Caenorhabditis elegans: one gene and its partners. The protein of the gene in region 1 purifies or fractionates together with the protein of each later gene. This does not show direct contact. Each region holds a gene or a part of one and is shown on either strand. Other genes may lie near its edges. The genes, in order: ced-10, chdp-1, mig-10 and wsp-1.

Region 1 (5,599 bases):
AACGGAGCAGCCTTCAGACCGCCTGTGAAATCTATACGGCAAAGAAAGCAGAGCTCGCGAAAGCTCTTTCAGACGCTGGAGGCACTGATGCTCCACCAATTGATGAGGCAATTGATGCCGCTTTTCCGTTGCACCGACAAATTGTGCTCAATTATGCGAAAGATTTGACATGTGATGACGTCATTTATTCACTTGGTATGGAACGAAAAGTTGGGAAAAATTGGAAAAATCTAGCTGGAATTGCTCAATCCTGAGGAAAATGTGCAAAAATTGTTTTCAAAAAATGCAGAAGTTGAAAATTAAGAAAAACTAGTGAAAATGTTTCAAAAAAATTAAATTAAAGTTGAGATTTTTCGAAGTTTCTGAGAGATTTGAAGCCAAATTAAAAGCGTTTTTCTGAAATTTTTCAACGATTTCGTCTATTAGCACTACTACAAATCATTCAAAAACCCCCGAAAAAAAACAGAAATTAGTTAAAATTGACTTTAAATTCTAGAAAATTCACAAAAACTACAAAAAATTGGAAGTTTCTGAACAATTTTCAGCCATTTTTACTCCAAAATTTTGTTGAAATCGTTCAAAAATCAGTTTCGGTTTTATTTTAGCAAAAGTGTTTTTTTTTTGCGGAAATTTGATAGAAAAATTATTGAAAATGACTGAAAATTGGAATTTCAGCAAATTTTCGGTGTAAAAATTTTTCCGAAATCCAGCAAAAAAAAAAACGAAAAAAAATTATGGTATTTATGAGAAATTTTTTTTTTGCCTAATCTTCAAAATTTCAGGTCAATCACTGAAAAAACGCCAAATAACACTTGCCGAATACCTCCGCCATGTTCGTGACGTGTCCCGAGAGCAATTTATCTACCGAGCAACAATGCAGAAATGTCGACGAACTGCTGGTCTTCCTATTTAAAATTTAAATAAAATTTGGATTGAAAATCGTGGAAATTTTTGAGAAAAAATTGCTAATTTTTTGACCAAAACTGGAAAATCGTGAAAAATTGTCCATAAAAATGCTAAAAATTCGATAAAATTCTCGATTTTTGGATGAAAAATACTTTTTTCAATAAAAAGTGGGAATTTCAGCGATTTTCTGACGAAAAACTTAAAATTATTGCTGAGAAATCGAGAAAAATGCATTTTTTTAAAACGATTTTAGCTAAAAATTCCATATTTCATTTATTTTCCTGATGAAAAATTGTTTAACATCAAAATTTCGGTGCTTTTCCGTGATTTTTCAAGTTTTTTACATGTTTTTCCGTTAAAAATTCACTTAAATCTTCTAATTTCAGCCGAAAATTGTAAATTTCAATAATTCCCGTTAAAAATGATGGAGCTTCTATTGAAAATTACCTCGAAAAAAGCTTTCTTTTTTTGACGATTTTCCAGCCGAAACATGTAAATTACGACGAATTTCAGTGACTTTTTTGTCAAAAAAATTACGGTTTTCACTCATTTTTCCATCTTCTCATTTCAAAATTTCTCCCATTGCCGCCATTTTTCTCTAATACTCCCTTTCTCTCCGTCTTGATGCCCGTTGTGATTTGGTTTGTTCTCTCTCTCTCTCTCTTTTTTTCCGTTTTATAGACACAATTTTCTAGATTTTTCCCCATTTAAAATATCCAATTTTGCACCCATTTCCCCATTTTTCCCGGGGGAAAAGCTCGCTTTTCTCTCGAAATTCGATGACTTTTTCAGGTTTTTTGTTCATTTATTTTTTGTACAAAAATTTTAATTTAAATGTGATTTTTCCCCCCATTTTTTTCTGATTTTTTCGCTCAAAATACCGTGATTTTTGGCGGTTTTTCAATATTTTTGATAGATTTTTTTTGTTGCTATTTTTAAGCCAATTTTTCCAGCTTTTTGTGCTTGTGCTCGCGGAGCTCCCCACAAATGCAAGCGATCAAATGTGTCGTCGTTGGTGACGGAGCCGTCGGTAAAACGTGTCTCCTGATATCCTACACCACAAACGCATTTCCCGGAGAATATATTCCGACGGTGAGTCATTTTTAAAGCAAAAATTGAGATAAAATTACGTTTTTTGGCTCAGAAAATAGGACATTTTGACACAAAATCGAAAAAAAAAAACAAAGAAATTTAGGCAAAAAATATTCAAAATTGTTGTATTTTGATCCAAAAATCATTGAAATAAATATTTTTTTAGGCCAAAAACTGGGAAAAATAGTGAAATTATCAATACTGAAAATCGTGAACATTTTGATTTATAAAACATTTAAATAAAAAATAATTTAAATTAAATTTTTTTTGCTAAAAATCGTTTTAAAAAGTACATTTTTTTAATCAAAAAAATAAGTGAAATTTCACTGAAAAGTATGAAAATTAAAACTTCCGTTTTTTACGGAAAATCTAGACAAAAAACTTTTCAAAATGCGATAAAAAAGTTTTCTGCAAAAATCGTTTTAAGAAACACATTTTTAGCGAAATTTTGCTGAAAAATATGAAAATTGTCAACTTGTTCCCATAAAAATCAATAAATTAATATTTTTTATACCAAAAGCTGGGAAAATGGTGAAATTTCATATAAAAATTGGTATTTTTATTTGAAAAAAAAATGTCGAAAATTTCAAAAAACTTCAGTTTTTTTAAACGGAAAATCTAGAAAATTTTGATTCAAAAAACTTTTAAAAATGCAATAAAATTGTAGGCTTTTTGCAACAAAAAAATTGAAAATTTTGAAAAGCGCACAATTTCCCGCAAAAAATATGAAAGGTGTCTTCTTTTTCCCAAAAAAATGCTTTTTTCCCATAAATTCAAATTTTTTCCAGGTATTCGACAACTACTCAGCAAATGTGATGGTCGACGGTCGGCCGATAAATCTCGGGCTCTGGGATACAGCTGGACAGGAAGATTACGATCGGTACGGGCAGCGGGAAAACTGAAAATGCTCGAAAAAACTCAGGATTATGGGTTTTTTCAATAAAAAATTGCTCAGGATTATGTGATATTTTCCTCAATCAAAATGTGGAAAATATCACATTTTAGAAAATTTCATCCAATTTTTCATAAAATGACAGTGATTTTGAAGCTATTTTGTGGTGAAAAACTCGAAAAACATGGAATTTTTCGCACTTTGCACTAAAAATTACCCCAATTATCAATTTTTCAACACCAAAAAAATTTGCAGACTCCGACCACTGTCATATCCACAAACAGACGTGTTTCTCGTATGCTTTGCCCTGAACAATCCGGCGAGTTTTGAGAATGTTCGTGCGAAATGGTATCCAGAAGTGTCACATCATTGCCCGAATACGCCGATTATTTTGGTTGGAACGAAAGCTGATCTGCGTGAGGATCGAGATACTGTTGAACGGTAGATTTTTGGAGAATTTGAGAGAAAAATTGAGGAATAAAGTGAAAAATTTGTAGAAAATGATGAAAAATTGCCAAAAAATTCGAAAAAGCGCATAAAAATTCAGAAAATCACTTAAAAATTGAAGGAATACCGCCAAAACATTAGAAAAATCATTAGAAACGGCAAAAAAATGAGAAATAAGGAAAAAACGCATCAATTTCAGGAAAAAAAATTGCAAAAATTGTATGAAAAGTTGCGTAAAATAGCACAACATTCACATAAAATTTTGGAAAAAAATTTGCAAGATTTTGAGAAATTTGCTCAAAATGTTGAAAAAAAAATTAAAATTAAGATAAATCGCTAAAGAAATGTAAAAAGTTGCACTAAATTCGCATAAATTGTGGACAAAAGTTTGAAATTTTGAAAAAAAGCACATTAAACAAAATTGGCTTAAAATCGAGAAAACTTGCAAAAATTCCGAAAAAAAAAATTTTTTTTGCAGGCTCCGCGAACGCCGGCTCCAACCAGTGAGCCAAACCCAGGGCTACGTGATGGCAAAGGAAATCAAGGCTGTCAAGTATCTGGAGTGCTCGGCGCTCACGCAACGTGGTCTGAAACAAGTTTTCGATGAGGCGATCCGAGCCGTGCTCACGCCGCCACAAAGAGCCAAAAAGAGCAAGTGTACGGTGCTCTAAGATGGGGAAATTGGAGCAAACAATCGCAGAAACTACAACAATTTTAACTATATATATACATATATCATCTGGATTTTTTTTGTTTTATCGATGAATTTTGCTGTGAAATTACCGGTTTTTAGGGAGTAAAAATTGGCAAAAACTGAGCATTTTTAGGCAAAAAACTCGCCGATTTCCGTTCAAAGAAATGCTCCAAATCGGCTGAAAATTACTATTTTTTTTAACCGAAAATCGGCCAAATTTCCACTGAAAAAGCTCAATTTCAGCCGAAAATTTCTCGATTTTTTTCCAGAAAATTGTCCAAAATCTGGGCGTTTCCACTCTCTAAATCTGAATTTCCAGCACACTTTTTCTCATTTTCCCCCTCTATTTTTATCTCTAAAAATTTGTTTTGTATCAACGATTTTTCATCTTAAACTCGCTGTGATACTTTTCTTACTTATCCACCCCAATTTTCAGCATATTTTGTGCTCATTTTTGAGCCGAAAAATGCTCAATTTGTCCATTCATAATTTTGTGCTTTTCCCCTTTTCCCACCTGAAATAGGTCTTTTTTCATCTGAAAAATTGAATAACTTTTCCCCAAAAACCACAAGTGCTTTTTCCTCTCTAATTTTTATCGGTTTATTTTTTTTATTTGAAATTTCTTCGAAATTTTTGTGAAATTTCTTCGAAAAATCTGAAAATGTTTGGAAATCTCTACGATTTTTTCTAAAAAATGTTCAAACTTTTTGGAATTTGTTTGAAAAATTATTTGGAATTTTTCTGAAACTTTTTTTCAAAAACTTTCGATTTTTTTTTGTAATTTTTAGGACACAACGAACCCTCTCTCCACAACCAAAAATCCTCTTTTTTCTATTGTGAATTTGAACAACAAACTCGGCTCTTTTTCCCTTTTTTCTTACTTTAATTGTTAATTTCTCTTCTTTTTGTCCAACTTTTATTATGCTATTTTAATATGATGATATGATATTTTACCACACTTTTTTTCTATGATGGAATTTTAAATTTGAACATTTTTTGATGGAAAAATTGGAAAAAAAAACAATTCGAAAAGTTGCAGAGATTACAGATTTTTCTGAAACTTTCGATCAAAAATTTCAGATTCTGAGTTTTTTTACATTTGTTAATCGGACACAGAAATGAATGAAAAAAATCCTAAAAAATTTCCGAACTTTTGTTTTCTCGGTGGCCTAGAAAACCTAGATTTCTAGGAGTTTTCTAGTCCCCGGGCATTGGCCACCCAGCAAGCACGTGTGTGTGTTCATTGATCGTTAATGTGTGGGTTGACGCTGAAACTCTTGATCCCCAAAATCACTTTGATAAATCTTTTCAAACTGATTTTTTCCGATGAATCTCCAATCCATTTTCTGCTTCCCAAATACGGAACTTGAATAGTCAACGGAGTTATAAGAGTACTCACTAAGGTAGCGATTACCACAAAAGAGCACCCACAAGAACCATGTAACAACTGGATAGTGCTAAATATGATTGGGAACTGAAAACTGGTTCAAAAAATAAAATTGAATTACATCGAACTAAATACCGATTCAAATATTAGCGCAGTGACTGCCTGCCAGAAAATGTACTTT
Region 2 (6,853 bases), on another chromosome or scaffold:
CATGTGAAATCGTAGCAAAAACAAGCAGACGGTACTTTCAGGTGACCAATACAATTTCTTTTGTTTACCTGATACTGACGAAAATTCGTAAAAGCTTCTGACTAGCGCAATAAATGTGTCATTTTCCAATCAGTCACAAAAATCGACAAAATAAATCAGAATCCTTTTCATGTTTTCAGTATCTGCAGAAAGTATCTATTGCTAGGCCCTTTCGGGAAGTGTAAAATGATAATGATTATCAGAGCATTATCAGTTTTCCTAACCGCCATGAACATTGAGCATTGCACCGCTTTTATCAGTTATTACCGTACTAATTGTTTCCGCTTTAGATAATTCCGTTCTATCATCCGATAAAATAGCGCTAAATAATTCTTCAACCTTTTTATTGGTATGAACTCGATGCAATGCTTTCAACTCTCAAATACCCAGTAATTTTGGTTGTCATGGTTACATTCGATTGTGAACCTTCAAAAATTATCTGTTTTCAATTTCATCACTCAAGCAGCACACGCAAACATCCATCCAGCGCGGACACCCGCCCCACAAGTCAGTAGACTCCGCCCAAATTTTCCGTCCGCTATGAGAGACGGGAGAGGGACACATTTGCCGCTGCTGCTGCCGCAATGGAAAGGGACGTTTCGGTGGCTGCTGCCACTGTGTGCATCATTGCGGTTGGGTGGTGTGGTGATGGTGCTGGTAATGGTTGACGATTGGACCACTGGCCTTGTCCTCTTTTTCACTGCAAAATGTGTGCAATACCCCTGCTCTCATATTCATTCATTTCGTCGCCCACATCCATTCCATTCGTCTTTTCTGGACATTTCTTGTTCTCTTTTTGACTCCGCCTTTTTCTCGATTTCGTAATCTATGTTTCCTATGTTTCTCATTTCGAAATCATGAATGACTCATGCTCTGAAGTTCGGACTTCTGTTCATTTCACTTCTATTTGCTTCATTTTTAAATTTAGTGTAGGTGAGAACAGCAACGACTGAATCAGAATCGAGAGCAAATAGGGGGCGGGCGGCGGTTCGATATATCAAATGACACGGAGGTAGACCATTCAAAAAGGTAAATGGTGTTAGTGGACCCTCGCCTCTCATCTCATACCGTCTCTTTCTCTCGTCTGAATAGTCTTTTTGACACACTTATTGTCGTTATGAAATGAATGTGAATAGAGGAAAAAAGGAGATTGAATGACCCTTTTTCGCCACCTCACCTGCTGAGTAAGAACCGGTTATTCCAGAATAGTGAAAGGCTCTTTTGGTTTCTTTTCTTAAGCCTTCTAGTACTCTACCTTCCTACATTTATTGCCTTTTTTCGTCCAGACGAATGTTTTCCAGGAAAAGTGAGCGCTTCTTATCTCGTTAGCATTATTCTTCGATTCAATTCAAGTCGCATATGACTAGTTCTTCTTTTTAAATCATAACCTAAACGCGCATTTTCTCTTCATGACCTTTTCCCGCAATTTGAGCATCGATTGACTGTTCTAGCCCCCGCAGCGTTCAGCGTTCCGCGTACCATCTAGTCTCTTCACACAATCAGTCTTACATTATTGTCCCTACTATAACATCGTCTTCTCTTTCTTTTTACATTGTCTCACTTGAGTTCTTCGTCTTTTTTTGTTCTTCTCATCTATATCCACTAAAACCCCATTCTTGGAGACGGTTCTAGAATAGAAAATGAGTCCTCGACAGAGACGGGTGCAATTAGTGTCCAAGCGAGAGAGAAGCTTTTGCTCATTCCGGTTTTGTCTTTTGCCTACCAAAATGTGCTACCCCGGCTTACTAGCGGCTCGCTACTGGAGACTCTATTCGATTACCCCCGTAATTGAGTTGACTTTCATGGTAGTCTTCTGTTTTTCCCCATTCCATTTTCTCATTTTTCTTATTCTCCTCTCCAACTCGTCTATTTCTCTCGTATTTTTTCTCCATTTTTAGCTCTTTGTTTCTCCGAATACCTCGAAAATTAATGAGTTTCTTTCAGTCTCAGTTCTCTCGTCACTAACCAACACATCAACTATGTCTGAGGAAATCAAGAAGATCGAGGAGGTCGCCGAGCAAGACAAGGCTCCAAAGGTTCCAACCACCGAACCACCAGTCGATGTTCCAGCACCAGTTACTGAAGAAGCACCAAAAGTAGAAGAAGCTGTCGCTGAGATTGCTGCCCCAGCTGCTGCAGAAGGAGAAACTGCCACCGCTGCTGCTGCAGCTCCAGAAGAGAAAAAGAAGTCTGGAGGTGTTGCTCGGCGTTTCACTTTCAACAAGAGATGGGGAAAGCACCGTGATGCGGAAGCATCCACTCCAAAAGAGCCAGAAGCACCAAAGGATCCAAAGGAAGACGTTCTCGGATGGATTGCTCAACAGATTCCACAGGCTGTTCACAAGGTAAGAATACTTTCAAAATAACTAAAACGATTCAGGGCAGATGGTATTCTCGCTAGAGCAACCGAAACGCAGGTTTAGTATTCACCCTAGCATAACAGCTGTTTCCGATTAGCCCCCATTCTCACCAGTTACCTTTGAATTCAAATTACCGCAGTTCGATTTTTTAAGAATCATAGGTGAATTCATTGGAATGCCTAAAAATTTCTAGGAATTGGCCAAAACGATGCATAAGTACTTTTAACTAACAAGAACCTATCTGAAATTTGATCCTGAGCTCACAAAAAAGTTTGGAACAAGTGCATTTTCCCCTACTCCTTCACAAGTTCATTAAGTCTATTCATCAACATTTGCAATGTATCGCTCATTGGTATTTGCAAGGTTTTTTGTTTGATCGCGCCGGCGAGATTGGCGATGTGCGTCGGCACTCTGTAAAAGGGCAGCTGTGCCAATCTTTCCTCGTTCCGACGCTCGTATTGCTGCAGACCCCGTAGAATGGTGTTGTAATGTAACTAACTGTGTGTGCGCGCGCACCGGATTCGCTATTGCGTAACTCTTTAGGATAATGAGAGGCAGATATTGTAGATATCCTAGAAATTGACAGACGTTCGTAAAAGTTATAAAATCGATGTTGTCTGGTGACCAGGATATTTACACGAATTAGAAATAAAAAGATGTGTGATTCGACTTTAAATTTTGAATACTCACAAAAATAATCCCCATGGAAACGGAAACAAAAATACATGACGAAAAGTATTTATATTTCATCATAATTTCGAAACATCTGTTTTATACAATGAGATTCACAAAGATTAGCATGTATGAAATCTCTTTTAAAGTCTGAATTTCGCAGGAATTTTGAGAGAAGAAAGTTTAGAAGCTATACAAAAAATTGGGTCAATTTCCCTAGACATTAATCCTGAACAATTGCTGGTTCAGTTCGACAGCCATTTTTTGTTGGTACACAAGATGAATTCGTCCTTTTTGCATCTTCTTTCCCAAAAAAAAAGGAACTCATTGGTTGAACCGCGCTGCTGCTCTGCTCCTCCTTTCTTTGTTTCTTAATTCTGATGCAAACGCACTTCTGTTTTAGTGGTTGCCGTCTTTCTTGTCCAGCACGAATGAGAATGATCTCTTATATGGAGGCTTGCAACATTGAGAGTGCTCTCATGGGATTATAGCAGAAAGAACTGGTATTGGATATTTGCGTCTTTTTTGCACTGAGAAAACAAATTACATTGGAACGTTCTTTTTTCGGATTCTTATTTTGGTCATTAAAGTTTTATTTTTCAGGCCAACTACCAGGTTATCGACTGGGTTCAGAAGACAGCTATCCCAGAGGAAGGAGAGCGAAAGACCATTCCGGGAAAAGATCAGGCCACGACTCGCAACCAATTCATTGGATTCTTCAAAGATGGAGATGTCCTCGCCAAGCTGGCCAACGCTCTTGAGGTATGTTAATTTCACTTTTCTGATAAGAATATATGGGGTAATGATGATGATGATAAAATGTGATAAGTGATATGCAAATAGGTCGGAAGGTGCATTATCAATTAGCGGTATTTCCGTTCCGACATTGATCGGAATTCGGAAATATTTTGAGATCTATTATATGAGTTAATTAAGTGAGGGATCTTAATCATGAAAACAAATTAAAATTTACAGCCAGGAGCAGTTGAAGTCGCTGCCGCTGAGGAAAACGCCGATGCTGCAGCCCAGAAAGAAGTTCAGAAGAAGAACATTGATGCCTTCGGAGCTTGGGCTCAAAAGACTCTTGGAACCGAGGCTGCTCCAGTAACCAACGAAGATCTTCTTGAAAAGGGAAAAGCTGGATACACAGCTGTTTTCCAAACTCTCTGGCAACTCGGAGTTCAGGCCAAGGAAAAGTTTGACAAGGAAGGATTCAATGTTGACACCATTGTTCAGCTTGCAAACTCTGTCGTCAAGAGCGGATTGTTGACCACAATCCTAGGATTCTTCAGAGTGAGTTATATTCTAGATTAATTTTCAATTAACTTTTGTTTTTATTTTTGATAGCTAATTTATCTTGTTTCAGAGAAATCGGCAAGCTGCTGCTGCTGTAGAAGAGCCAAAGGATGAGACTGCAGCTGCGGAGGGAGCCGGAGAAGCAAAAGAAGAGGGAGCTACCGGAGAAGTTGCAGATACCGCTGATGAGCCAGTTGCAGTGAAACAAGAGACTAGTGCACCGGCTGCCGTCGCTGCAAATTAGAAATCTGGAAGAAGTATTTATCTTTCTGTAATTTCTAGTCCGCATCTCTCTTTTCCACTATCGTGTTCCGGTATCTCAACTGTTTCCTCCGCCTCTTCATTCCAAATATTCAATGTCTCTTCCTCGAAACGATGATGATAGCTCAAAGAAGAAATGTGCTCTCAAAAGTAAGTGTAGTACAAAAACGATGACCGTCTGGCGGGATGTGTGTTTGAGTAACGGATTTATATGCATAAAGAGTCCTTATTTGGTCTCGGTTTTGGACCGTTTAGTGTAGCGCGGAAGTGGAAAAGTGTACTATTGGACTTCTCGTTCTACAAAGCGTGTGCTCACATTCCATCGGTCGGCGTGCTCTTAATGAGAAGACAAGTGTTGGTTTTGTTTTTGGAACTGGGCCAAGTCTCTCCCATTTCTATTTTCTCTATTGAGGGAAAATAGTACAAATGAGAGAGGCAATAATTAGGAAGCGATGGACAATTATGGGTCACTGAGCACCACAAAAGGACCGCCTTTCTATAATTAGAAAGGTGCAAACATTCTCTATGTAGACATACCTTGATTTTAATTTTATAACGCTTGAGTTAGTTCTAGAAACTCTTTAGAAAATTTCTAACTGAAAGGCGTAAATTTCTTGAGATTCTCTCGGAAGACAAAACAATAGGATCAAAGTTTGGACATTGATTTTTTTTACCGAATCCTTGGAATGATGTATTTGTCCTCCGCCAAACTTTTTTTTAAATTTCTCGTCTTCCGTTTCCTTCTCGCTTGAGGATCCCAAATAGGCGTGGAATTGGAGACTGTAGATCAGATTATACCTCTCATTCACATTTTCGGAGGCGAGTCCTGTACAAAAAAAGCGAGAAGACCTTGACTCGGTGACCCTTTCAAATTGTCTACCGTCTCTTCTATGGTCCGTACTGCATCGTGACTTGTTTCCTGTCGTCATCATACAGGTCAACCTTACCAACCGATCCTAAGTAATTTGAGTCGGAAGAAGTGGTTGAGAGGGGTTCGTAGGGTGTCTGGTGTGGTAGATTGAACTGTTTATATTCTAAAAGGGCAGCTGAGAAGGACCTTGAGAATATAATTGTTTATACTAAAAAGTCACGAGCAGCCACAGAAAATATCCTTTTTTGAAGTAATTGGTCATCAATTTCTGCTCGCTGACAAAAAAGGTCCAAAATGGTCAATTGACAGATGATGATATTTAACGAGAAACGGAAAGGGGTTCTGCGCTTATTTTTAATGTGCCGTTGAATGCAATTATTCAATTATCTGTGAAATGAGGATATCAAGAAAAAACTAATAAATTTAATTATTTCAGCACTATCTTCAATCAAAGCAATCATCTTCATTTCGATGTCGGCCGGGCAGCAGCAATCAATTTTTAAAAAATCTTTTCTCTAAAAGAAAATCTAATTTTGTTCATCGTTTTACCATTCTTCATTTCAACCAATTTTCTCACCTAATAAGACTTTAATAATCGATAATTGATCTATAAAAGTCTATTTTTCACCAATCTCTCGATTCATCAAACTTTTTTTGTATTTTGATAACTATTGTCTCAGCTTTCTCTTTTTGTGCTTTTCATCCTCCAAAAGTGTGAAGCTCATTAAATGAGCCTTTCCACTTGATTGATTCGAGATTTTTCCTGTTTTTCCAAAGTTCAATCTCTATTCTCTCGCTTTTTTCAACTTCAGTTTTTTCTCATTTTTCGAAATAAATAATGGAACCAACCAATTCTTCTTCGTTGTGCATGTTGTTTTTGAGTTAACATTGGTTCTAAATTTATTTTAAATTAAAAAAGTTCTAAATACAGTTAAAATATTCAGATGTTTTCAACAACACCAATTAAAGAAGAATCATGGAGACATGAAGGGTAAGAAATTATAAAAAGTTCTAAATACAGTAAAATAATTTTTTTCGCAAGGAATTGTAATCTTACTGTCAGTTGTTTTATAGAAATTTTGAAGCATCTCAAATATTTCAAGCCTCCTTTCGCTAATTTTTTGTGAATCAGATTAAATATTTTTTGTTTTAAGAACTTAACGTTTAAATTCAAGACATAAAAAACTCGAGAAATCTTAGATAAAATACGCAAAAATCGAAAGAATTTTGAAATTATTGCTTTACATGTCGCGACCTTCAATTGTTTCTAATCGTAGACCCAAAATTTTGCGATTTTTGAGCCAAGAACACGGTATTCGGTCTCGGCACGACAATTTCTCGTTAAATGAAAAAT
Region 3 (4,595 bases), on another chromosome or scaffold:
GTGGTAGAAGACTTGAGAGCAGGGAAATGCTGTAAAATGAATGGAATTTATTGGGAATGCTTTCATGTTTACATAAACGAGAATGCATTCTTTAAGTGGATCAATTTGAAAAATGGAACACATCAATGGAATTTAGAAATTTGTTGTGTTTCTCTTAGAAAGTAATTTTGTTAGAAACCTCTCCAAATGGGAAAAACTCAAATATCATAGTAAATCTTTTCAAAAAACTTGTCTGAATTTTTAATTCAAATTGTGTTGTGAAAACTTAGTTTGCACCTATCATAATTTCAAGTGTGGCAGATTTTTGTTTCTATGAGTTTTTATACTTTAATTGCCTTTTTTTTTATTTGCATATATTGCTCTATTTCAACATTCTGAGGACGAACCAATGCTCGAAATTACTTAGAATGCCCATATTTTTGGAACATTTCGTAAATTACCAAAACATTGAATGTAAGTTTTTTAAAAATTGAAAAAAGGGCTTTTCTGAATCAACTTCTCTATTTTGAATTCACATTTAAAATTGAAAGAATATTTCAAGTTTCTAGAATTGAAAAGTAGATGGCACTTCATAAGAAAAGAAAGAGGAACAGGGAACAATCTGCCAACATTTTTGATGAATTGCTCCCAAACAAAGAGTGAACGACAGCATTTTGATGGACAAAGAGAGAGTCAAAGGGGTCAAGAAAGTGAACATACTCTACCATGACAAGGCTGTTCTCTTCTGGTGATTCAAAACTGAAAGGTTTGAAGCAATTCGAAACTGACGGAAAGGACACGCTCCGGTAAAAACGATGAATGAACATCAGAAATGGAACACACATGGCAACAACACGGACCGATGAACACCTGGCTAGCCACGAGGATTTGCCGGATTTTCGAGGATTTTAGTTAGTTCATAAACAAATTGGGGTTTGGATGGTGTTAATTAGAAATTTTTTGATAGTTTTTTGTAGAGAGGGCTTGAAAACGTTATTGAAAATCCATGTGAGCTATATAAAGTTTTTTCAACTTTTTGATAGATGATTTTCTGGTTAATGTTTAATCTATGACTTGTATATTTTTGTTGTTTTTTCTATTTTTTCTATTTTTCACAGTACAAAATTATTTTTAAAAAATCTATTTAGAGATTCAGGAGAAATGATATCAATTTTGGCAAACTTTCATAACTTTTAGACGCCATTGCGAAATTTTACTAATGGTTATTGAAAAATAATCGTTTCGCGGACTTGAAGTTATGTAGCTCTTTCTTTCTTGTCATTCTTGAAAAAAATTCACCAATTTTCTCCGTTTTTCTTCCAACTTACTTAGTATCTTGGTTACCTTTTCCTAGACCTCCCCGACTTTCAAACTTAATTAGACCACACTTGCAACTATCTTTAAAAATTCAGAGAATTTCACTTTCATGGCCAAGAGCAGCAATAAAAGTCAGAAAAGTGAAAGAAAAGAGAAATAGAGTGCAACACAGAAACAAGAATGGACAAGAGAACGGACAACCCATTGTTTCAGAATGTCGTTCCTTTTCTCTGTGTCTCTTTTGAATTCATACACATGTTCCATGAAACATGCTCGCGCACAGATTGAAATGAACAGAAAGAGACGAGGAAGAGTGCGAATGATTTATTCATCAATGCTCTGGTATGTTCAGAGCTTTGCAACAAATGAAAAAGAGCACAAATGGAACATTTCTGAATAATATTGATTCGTAACTTAACTTTGCTTCATAACTTTAGAACATCTTGAAAAAATTGCACAAAAAAGAGTTTTGTCTGTCGTTTGGGAAGTAGAGTTGCGTTGTGGAGACATTATTTTTCCTAGGGCTGAGTAAGGCTGAGTAATCTAGTATCCTACCAAATAATTTAGATAATTTTTTAAAAAGGCTGCGGTTTCTTTGGAGAAATTACATGAAATAAAAAGTTCTGAACACTTCAACACACATTCAAAAGTTTTGTTACATTCCGATCTAAGCTATAAGTCATATTTTTGGAAAACCAACAAAAAATTCTGAACGAAAATCCAGTAGGTTTCAAGGAAAACCGTACAGCCAACAAGAAAAGATCATAGAAAATCACATCTGGATGGCCTTCCGTTCTATTTCTTTTGCCGGATTGTCACTAAATCATCTGCGAATGATAAATGACCGTAACCAAAGAAAACTAATCAAGTGTATAGAATACGGGAAATGAGGTCATTGGAAAAAAGGCCTAACTGGAAATTAGGCTGAAGCTACTGCTAATACTAGTGTTACGAAACACGACAAGAAAAAGTAATCAATTCAGAAGCATCGCCAATAAACCAACAAATAGAACATATAATCAAGTTATCTGAATGCACGAGATAGGCGTAAAGGACGTACGAACATGCCAGCTTAGAGATTATAGGAAATTGTGAGTCACAGACAAAAACGCAAGTTGAGATAGCAATCTTTTGCTCGATGAGGGTGAAGGTCCGGTCAACTGATGACCACTAAAGATAGACACAACATACTACCAAAGCTTTATAAAAACGAATAATTGGAAAAATAGGAAAATTTGTTAGCGATAAGAAAAATTTGAATTATCCAAATGTGAATGTAAAGATAGCCTGCCAAATTTGAAAAAAAAACGCATCTTTGTGAACATTTTACAAAACTACAATAAAGATGGTTTAGCTTTTGTCAAAACATACCAACAAAAAAAACACTATAATTTTCGAAACACTAAATGTTTTATGATTTTTGGAAAGTTTTATTTTTCCGTTCTTCAAACTATTCAGTGACTCGATTTTTTTCCAAACCTTTTTTCTATAAAATAAAAAACTTTACCCATTTTCCATTTAACATCTAAACGTTTCAAATTGGCTAAGATCAAACGGCAAACACTTGAAAAGTGTGCATAAGGTAATTACGAGAAACCATTTGGGAGTCAAGTGTTTACGGACCACTGACATTTCTTTGGTTACCACAATAAGAACTCACCACTTTTCACCAAAAAGTTGATCTTCTTCGTCACTGTCAACTTCCAGATCGCATTCCTCTTCGCAACTGTCCATATTGGCTGAAATTTTGGAATTCAATCTTGAATAAATGTAACAAAAAGAAAATGGATCTTCTGAGACACAAAGTTTACCGGAAATGTACATGTAGCTTTGTTTTAGAGTTGAAACTTGAGAAGTCGTATAAGAAAGAAGGAAAAAATTGGAAGGGAAAGGAAAACTTTAAGGGGTCAAAAACCTTTTTTAAAGAAAAAAAACTGAAAAAATTCGTCAAATCAAAAAATCTAGCATCAAAAATTGCTCGTTTTTCGACTTTTAGAAATATCCAAAGTATTTGCCCAAACTTGCGCAAATAATATTTGTATACTAAATTCTGAATATCTAGTTTTCAATCAGCAGGAAACAGACTTTTATTGAATTTTTTTCATAGATTTCTCTAGTTTATTGTCACAATAAATCCACTTTTTCTAGTCTTAAAAATATGTATTGTATGTAGAACAATCTTTTTATTCTCAAGTTAAAAAATTATGAACCCTTGCAATCTAGAAAAAATTCAAAACACGACTTGTCAAGCTAATCCAAATAAAACAATAACAAAAACAAAATTGAGATTTCCGCTCTCTAAATACCGTATTTTCCTATGTTTGAACCACACTACTCTACATTGACGGCTTATATTTCAGTGGTTTAAGCTCAACGAAAAACTGTTCAACTATACAAATATAGCAAATTATTTGACACCTACTTTTACAGTTTAAAATGTCTCAATAAAATATAAGAAGACCGAGATATTTATGAGTTGTTAAAGTAGAGCAAAGTGATGCAAGGCCAAATTTGAGTGTGTGGTCTAAAGTTTTTAAGACAGAAGGAAAACCCAATTGACCACTAAATAATCTACACCAAATTTTCTTCCGTCTCCTCGAAAAAACAACAACATCTGCATAAAAAAGTGATTGACCTTCCCTCTGTCGGGATCGTTGCTAACAAAGTGCAAAAGCGATGATACAAGTCAAGGGATACCCCCCTCCCCCGCACAACAACAAGAAAGAATAAAAAAGAAGGCGGGGACAGCAAAGAGGGACACATATATCTCTTCCGCGCGGAAAGAAAGCGGCAAAAACGTACTAATGCGCGAGAAAAGAAGCAGAAGAAGCATATAATGACCTTTTTATGATAAAGTCTCGTGGGACAACCGGACCATCAATATGGTATTGAGTATAGAATATGCAAATTTTGGTTGAATAGAAAAACGAAGAGAAAATGGAACAGAAGGAGAGTTCAGAGTGCGCAAATAATGGAAGGAACGCGCGTAATCTGGAAGAGTTGACATAAAAAATAAGAGGATTATTCATAATTGAGTCGCTCGGCACGATACGGTAAGGAAACTATAATGAAGAAGATTACAAGACAATCAAAACTAGAACTTTTAAAAAAGTTTTCAGAAAAACTTGGTAGCAGTAAGGTAGTTATAGGTAAGTAAGGTATAGAGCACATTCTGAAGTTGGAAATTTCAAGTTTTTTTTTTTTTGAAAAAAAAGTGAAGTTTCTGCTGAAACCATAGAAAACTATAGTTCAAATTTCCCGAAAATAATTACAGTTAGCGTCGCCAAGTTTAGCCAAGA
Region 4 (6,794 bases), 4.7 Mb from region 1:
ACGTTTGTTGGTCTTATTTTTGATCTCGATCGTATTATTCTATTCTATTATTCTGGAGCGGTAATTTTTTGAAATGACCAATCCATTGAAATTAATACAAATTGTCATTTACTATAATAGATAATCGGAAAAAAAAGTTGAAATTGAAACTTATTAAAACGTACCTGATATCTCGGAATGGTCTTACTGTAGTCTACTGTATTCCTAACTTACAATACGATATGTCATTATGTGTCACTTGATTCGAAGTTATATTGCTTACAATCTATAAAATTCTATTTGAAAAAATAGAAATTTGTTCTGACCTATCATGAATCTCAGTTTTGTGTTCCTCTAAAGCATGAGCCACTTTCAATCGACGCATGTGAAAAGCGGGCCACTTGAAAGAGCAAGGAGTAGGACAAGACGAGTACAGGATTCAATGGAGATCTACGTGATCTTACCCGTGCCTTGTGCTCTACAATGTTCAATCTGAACAAAGAACGAGCACTGGTTCAATTATAAGGTTTTCATACTTTTTATTTTCTTCTCTTTTTTACAATAGTGCTTCAAGTCTCCATCTCTTCTTCTGCAGCAATCCTATGCGGTTGTATTATGTTCATGCATTAATTTTTGAGAAGTCGACACTTGAGAGGAAGTTATAATTAGGTTTTCGTATATAGTTTTGTATTTGGCGCAGGTTATTTTTGAAACATAGTATATCTTTAAAATCTGTTAACAGAACACAAGCAGATGTGAAAAAAGTGTAGAAATTATTTAATAATAAGTGAAACTGGCTGTTCCTTCCGTTTTCCGAATGTCATTATTGACGTCTAGAGGTGTAGCTGTTCCTACGTGTTGTTGTTAGCGGGTGTGACAGTAGTCAAACGATGATTGAATAATTTTTGTGTTGAAGTACACGCTTTCAAACAAAAAAGTAAAATCTTAGTTTTTTCAGTCTTACCGCTGTTTTAAATTTGAAGGATCACCCTTAAGAACGGTGTCTCGTTTACTATAAAAGTACTGTAAACTCAAGAAAAAAATTACGATACTTCTTACAAAGTATTTCTGGTAGCCACACATTGACACCTAAGTCACAAACTAATAGAAACATTATCTTATTATTTCTCAGTTTTTTAATGTTTAACTATATTGAGACTCTCTCCGTTAGAGGTTCAGGGCAGCACATACACACATACACATACTCATCGGTGTTGACTCCGCCTAACTCTCGTGAGAAGAGAAGTGCTTCAGTTCACCTCCCCACAGTTTTCGCCCCATCATTTCGGTCACTTTTACTATTCATTTCTTACATGGAAAATTTTTGGAATATGTAAAAAATATCATTTTTTGAATAGAAATAGATAGTTGTTAGGAATTCAATTAATATTTACATCTGTTTCCTCTGTCAATATGCACATCTCACTGCCGCCAAACTGTGGTAGTGTGTTGTGTAATTTGATTCCGAATCGAAACGATTGGGCGAGAGAGAAAATTAGAGGGAGAGAAGCCGAACGGTGTGAAGAGGCGAAACGGTATACAATAATGATGTGTATTATGACGGTTTTCATTTCGTTCTGTTTCTATGATTCTCTGAATATCCGTTCGAATCACTAAGTGCTTGTACGCCAATCAGAAAGTCATGGCAATTTAAAAGATTTAGAAATGCAAACGTTTTTTTTTCCAAATTCACTTTTCATCAGACTTCAGCAAGATTTTTTGAAGAATAGGATGTTACAAATTATGCTTGCGTAAATATGCAACATTTTTTGGAATGCCCATTTTCGAAGTCAACTAGAGGTATAATTTGGAACCCTTATATACATCTCTCCTTTCAATTGTTTCACACATCACTCGGATATCTCAAGTGAATTTGTTCCATTCCTTCATTTTATGACCTGAAAATTCCGATTCTCACAGCTTTCGATTCCATAAACGTCACCTTTCGACATTTCCCATATACTCTTTTTTCTCTCGCTTTCATCTCCATAATTTGCGACGATCTTTTTCGCCTTCTTTCAGAAGTATCAGAAGTAGTAGCCATTCGAAGAATAATAACATGTGGATGGTGGTAAGCGAGGATCCGGCCGGCCGCCTCCGCTATCAGTACCACAACCTGCCGGTCGCTCAATCGTTTCCTCCTCCTTCCCACCCTCCGCCACCGTCTGCGACAACCAATCCGTCGTCCAATAAACCGTCAACCGTTTCGTCGGCGGCTCAAATTTATTCGTCCTTTCCATCCTCCACTTCCTCTTCCGGTACTGGCGGTCATCTTCACCATAACCATATGCAACGTTTTGCACGTGGAGGATGCTCTAGCTTCCCTGATTCTATGGGATCCTCACCTCGTACTACCCATCGGAGTCATACTCTACCAAATGGAGGATATTATGAAATGGAACAATATGACAATGTAAATGATTATTCGACTTATGGAGGTCCTGATTCCACGTCAAGCTCAACAAGCTCATCTGCAGAATACCAAGATCCAGTATATTCAACAAGGTATGGAGGATCCACAGGTACATATGCAAGGCGTCAGAACTATGCAAGATGTTATGTTCCAATATCTGCTGATGCATTCTATTACTATCACAATCAACAAAAGCAACTACAACAGCAACATCATCAGCAGCAACAACAGCAGCTAGCATTCCGACCTCGTCATCGATCATCACATCATCATCAAGAACCTCGTCGACATAGAGCTCCGAGTCCTGATCCAGACTATTCACCCCCACTTTCTCGAAATAAGGTACGATTTCATATCCCAGAAGAACCAGTATCTCGTGGTGACTATGTGAGTTCTCGACACGTATTCAATACGGATGACTTCGGTGACGAAGACGACGATTATGAATCAGTATCGATGAATCCTGATCCTGCACCTCATTCTGATTCCGTATTAGTTCATCGATCAAATGGTCAAGTATCTGTTATGGTCACAAAGAAAGAAGAACCTATCTACTGTTCTGGAGGAAGTGATAGTAGTACAGAGAGTAGCAGTGCAACACCATCATCTGTAGAAGCAGATACTCCACCACCAATTCCATCTCATCCACCTGCAAGGCATCGATTAGTGAAGAAAAGTTCTAGTTCGACATCAATTTCGCTTAATGGTTTGTTTTACAGACTTTAAATATTCTGATGTCTGAATCTTCACCTCATCATTTTTACTCTTCTACAATAGTTTCTAAAACCTTTTAAAATCTCCCAAAAATTACACAGCTTGTGAAGCTTGAAAATTTAAAAACGAATTTAGTTTTTCGAAACTTCTAAAAGTATAGGAAGTGTCAACAAGTTGAACTCATGATGTGTATTTGCACTTTATCATAATATTTTTGTTTACTTGATCACTATCTTTCCATATTATCGTTTTTTCTTTGAGTTGATCAATTTGATAGACAGAATCTGGTTCTATAAGAGTTTTTCACACAAATTTGGAAAGCAAACATCCAACCCAGGATGGCGAGAAATTCGGACCGATTATTTGTGTTCATGTCATGTTATGAGCACCGCCGACCGAGTACTTGATCGGCTTCAAGCGCTCAGAGCACATGAACATCATTGTTGAGCAGAAATGCTGGAGAATAGAGAAAGATGATTTTTAACTGATTGGGTGATCGAATTGAAATGAAAAAGAACAGAGCACTTGACAGTGAGAACTTCTATATTTAATAATTTATTATTTCAGGAATCGGATCCACTCCAACACGACAATTCGAAATCACACAGGCTTATGGAGGAACAATTCGAGGACCTCCAATGGCAATTGGCGGAGGTCAAGGGATAACACAAATGGGAACTATGGCTGCTGCACCACAATCACATACACATACAGGTGAATATTTTTTTGGAAATTGAAAAATGATGTTCTCGTAGTCAGTAATTGAATTTCTGAATAAAATTACGTAAACTTAAAAAAAATCACATTTTATATCTCATTTCTTATGCATACTTTGCAAAATTTGCTCATATTTTAATGATTAATAAATTGAAAAGATTGTTACATAAATTTGGTGAGAAATCTCTTCAAAAAATAACATTAATTTTAATTAAATATTTTCAATATTTACAGATGGAAATGCTAGCAGTAGTGGATCATGGTTCCGGAAAGATAAAAACAAAAAGAAGGATAAAAAATCGAAAATTAAGAAAGAGGATATTTCTAATCCAACAAACTTTCAGTGAGATTTATTCCGTTTTAATGGTTTAAATTAAACTAAATATTTCAGACATAAAGCTCATGTTGGATGGAATCAGGATAGTGGATTCTCGAATACAGTTTACGACGATGATATGGATGAAGCTACTAAAAATATTCTAAAGGCTGCTGGATTGGAAAGCAATAATCTGAATGAGGATGATAAGAAATTCGTGAAAAAATTCATTGCCAAGAACTATGATAAATATGTATCTGTTGGAAGTTTGGATCCATCACAAATCTCATCACCTCTTCCACCACCAATTCAGCAACATCCACAGATGAATCAGTCATGGAATCAGTTAGTTTTTTTGTTTTCATTTCGGAAAAAAATAACTCCAAACCAGAAAAAATAAATTTAATTATGGTCCGACATCTACTGGGTTTCGCCCCTGTGAAGATACATGCATATGCGCTGTGTGAGTCGAAACCCGGTAGATGTCGGACCATGAAAAAGAGTAATGGCAACGCAATCCCAATTATTCTCCCCCGAAATGCTTTCGATGTAGTTTTTTTTCCGCAAACTTACAAAAAAAGTTAAAAGTAATATGTTTCTGTTACAGTTAACCCTTGAATATATTTTACGACTACTGTTTTTTGTAGCTGAGAACCAGAAATATTATGAAATATTTAATATAAATACTAGAAATATTAGAAATGAAATTAGTGTTGCATTTGGTGAGGGCGTATTTCAGCCATATTAGAAATACGATAACAAAAAAGTTTTATTTTTAAATGAAAAAAAAATTTTCAGAACACCAGTGCGTCAATACAAACCATCATTCCCATCATCTGCTCCGATTGGAAGCGGTGCTTCATCATATTCCACACCTGCCGCTCCTCCACCTCCAACACGTGTCGAATCTCATGGATTGGCTCCAGCTCGTCCACCTCCTCCACCACCGTCATCTGGTACCCGTGGAATTGCACCATCAAGACCTTTACCTCAAGTAAGTAACCGGAGAGTGATTTTCTGAAAAAAATTAATTTATATTCAGGCGCCCAACTATGGAACCCCAGAGAATCGACCACATGCGGTTCCACCACCTCCACCCCCTCCACCACCACAATCATTTGGAATGGCTCCGATATCATCCGCAGCTCCTCCACCACCACCTCCTCCACCACCGATGGGATTGCCAGCAGTAGGAGCAGGAGCTCCACCCCCTCCACCTCCACCACCACCTTCAGGAGCCGGAGGACCTGCATCGGTGCTCGCAAAACTACCACCTGCTCAGGATGGAAGATCGAATTTGCTAGCGGTTAGTATACTTTTAAAAATGTTCACTATTGAATTTTGTATTCAGGAAATCCAAGCTGGAAAACAACTTCGATCCGTTCAACAAACTGCAGATTCACCAAAATCGGCTGGTGGTGATGCTCGTGGAGATGTGATGGCCCAAATTCGACAAGGAGCACAATTAAAACATGTAAGACAATTTTTAACCGAAAATTACTATTGATTCCAATTTTTTTAAACTTTAGGTGGATGCAGCTGCTGAGCAAGAACGTCGAAAGAGTACGACTTCTGGAGCCGCTGGAATGGGAGGATTGGCTGGAGCACTAGCAAAGGCTCTTGAGGAACGTCGAATGAATATGGGAATAGATGATACTAGTGATGATGATGACGATGAAGATGACAAAAATGAATGGTCAGATTAGACTAAATTATCTCATTAAACTTGTTTTCCTTCCATTTTTCGTTTCCTTTTTCTGTGCAAATCCCGTGTGAAACAGGGTAATTTTAGTCCCTCAAGTACAATTCTTGATTTGAAAAATTACAGAATCGTCAATTTCCAAGATAAATTATCATACATTTTGAAAGTGACGAATTTGTAAAACTTGTGCATTTAGTTTTTTTTTTTCTCCAAATCAGTGCCTATTCCGTGTGAATTTCTCTTCGTAAGCCCCCTTCCACACACCCGAAATACCAACAAACTTTTAAAACTCAACCAGTCTTCTTGTTTTTCTCCCGTAGATTTTTCTGTGATGCTCCCCTCTCATCCAAAACCATTGTCCCTTTTTAGACTTACAGCAGAAACGCTCATAATTTTTTTGCATATTATCATTTTTCTGGGTATCCACATAAATAATTTTTGTTTCCAATTCGATGAGAAGTAGAAGCTTTCCGGGTAGAGCTTGTTTATTCACAGGTGTACAATAAGAATAACGGCTAAAATAAATAGCAAAAAAAATGGTTCTGTGTGCTTTTTGGGAACAAATTGAGATTATGAGATGATTTTTTGTAGATTTTTGTGTGATTTATGAACAGAAAATGTAAATTTGAAAATCGCTATTACTGGTTACGGGAAACAACGGGAAAAATTCTAAGAAGAATGATGGAGTCTCGGGATATGAAGAGAAAATATTACACAATAAATTATTAGGAAACATGTTTCATAAACATCTTGATCTATAAGTGACCGCATTGGAAGGACATTTTGGTTGGGAGGAAACGAATCGGAATTGGTTGACAAGAACCCGTAAAAGTGCAACACAATCTGAGATGAAATGGGGAAAAAAGAAACAAATTTAATTCTAAATATGTTTTTTTTTGTTGAGAAAATTATTTCTAAGTGTGATGACTCGAATGCATTCGATATTTATCTTT

The links.
Region 2: the proteins of ced-10 (region 1) and chdp-1 purify together in Caenorhabditis elegans (affinity purification with western blotting; one study listed by BioGRID). This does not show direct contact.
Region 3: the proteins of ced-10 (region 1) and mig-10 purify together in Caenorhabditis elegans (affinity purification with western blotting, with the first as the bait; one study listed by BioGRID). This does not show direct contact.
Region 4: the proteins of ced-10 (region 1) and wsp-1 purify together in Caenorhabditis elegans (affinity purification with western blotting, with the first as the bait; one study listed by BioGRID). This does not show direct contact.

What each region holds. Positions count from the first base shown.
Region 1 is NC_003282.8:3,505,788-3,511,386, reverse strand, and holds ced-10 (Ras-related protein ced-10), read left to right. Parts: upstream 1-1,859; 5' UTR 1,860-1,893; coding exon 1,894-1,998; intron 1,999-2,278; exon of another isoform or gene 2,279-2,428; intron 2,429-2,786; coding exon 2,787-2,878; intron 2,879-3,145; coding exon 3,146-3,331; intron 3,332-3,815; coding exon 3,816-4,008; 3' UTR 4,009-5,059; downstream 5,060-5,599. Other genes in the region: tsg-101 (Tumor susceptibility gene 101 protein), read left to right, coding at 1-195, 783-913; srz-83 (Serpentine Receptor, class Z), read right to left, coding at 5,272-5,505, 5,554-5,599. UniProt on the Caenorhabditis elegans protein: Required in engulfing to control the phagocytosis of apoptotic cell corpses. Required in embryonic development for the correct positioning and orientation of the mitotic spindles and division planes in blastomere cells.
Region 2 is NC_003279.8:6,282,990-6,289,842, forward strand, and holds chdp-1 (Calponin homology domain-containing protein), read left to right. Parts: upstream 1-1,983; 5' UTR 1,984-2,018; coding exon 2,019-2,384; intron 2,385-2,698; exon of another isoform or gene 2,699-2,910; intron 2,911-3,358; exon of another isoform or gene 3,359-3,583; intron 3,584-3,674; coding exon 3,675-3,833; intron 3,834-4,046; coding exon 4,047-4,364; intron 4,365-4,437; coding exon 4,438-4,611; 3' UTR 4,612-4,778; intron 4,779-5,935; 3' UTR 5,936-6,349; downstream 6,350-6,853. Other genes in the region: C10G11.6 (Verprolin-like), read left to right, coding at 6,444-6,490.
Region 3 is NC_003281.10:8,277,543-8,282,137, reverse strand, and holds the start of mig-10 (Abnormal cell migration protein 10), read right to left. Parts: upstream 3,031-4,595; coding exon 2,957-3,030; intron 2,494-2,956; exon of another isoform or gene 2,402-2,493; intron 1,700-2,401; exon of another isoform or gene 1,563-1,699; intron 30-1,562; coding exon 1-29. UniProt on the Caenorhabditis elegans protein: Required cell non-autonomously for proper development of the excretory canals and for the long-range anterior-posterior migrations of embryonic neurons CAN, ALM and HSN.
Region 4 is NC_003282.8:8,188,397-8,195,190, reverse strand, and holds wsp-1 (CRIB domain-containing protein), read left to right. Parts: upstream 1-1,995; 5' UTR 1,996-2,038; coding exon 2,039-3,098; intron 3,099-3,673; coding exon 3,674-3,820; intron 3,821-4,057; coding exon 4,058-4,166; intron 4,167-4,214; coding exon 4,215-4,484; intron 4,485-4,937; coding exon 4,938-5,133; intron 5,134-5,181; coding exon 5,182-5,445; intron 5,446-5,490; coding exon 5,491-5,613; intron 5,614-5,668; coding exon 5,669-5,845; 3' UTR 5,846-6,287; downstream 6,288-6,794. Other genes in the region: pct-1 (Cyclin-dependent kinase 17), read right to left, coding at 6,756-6,794.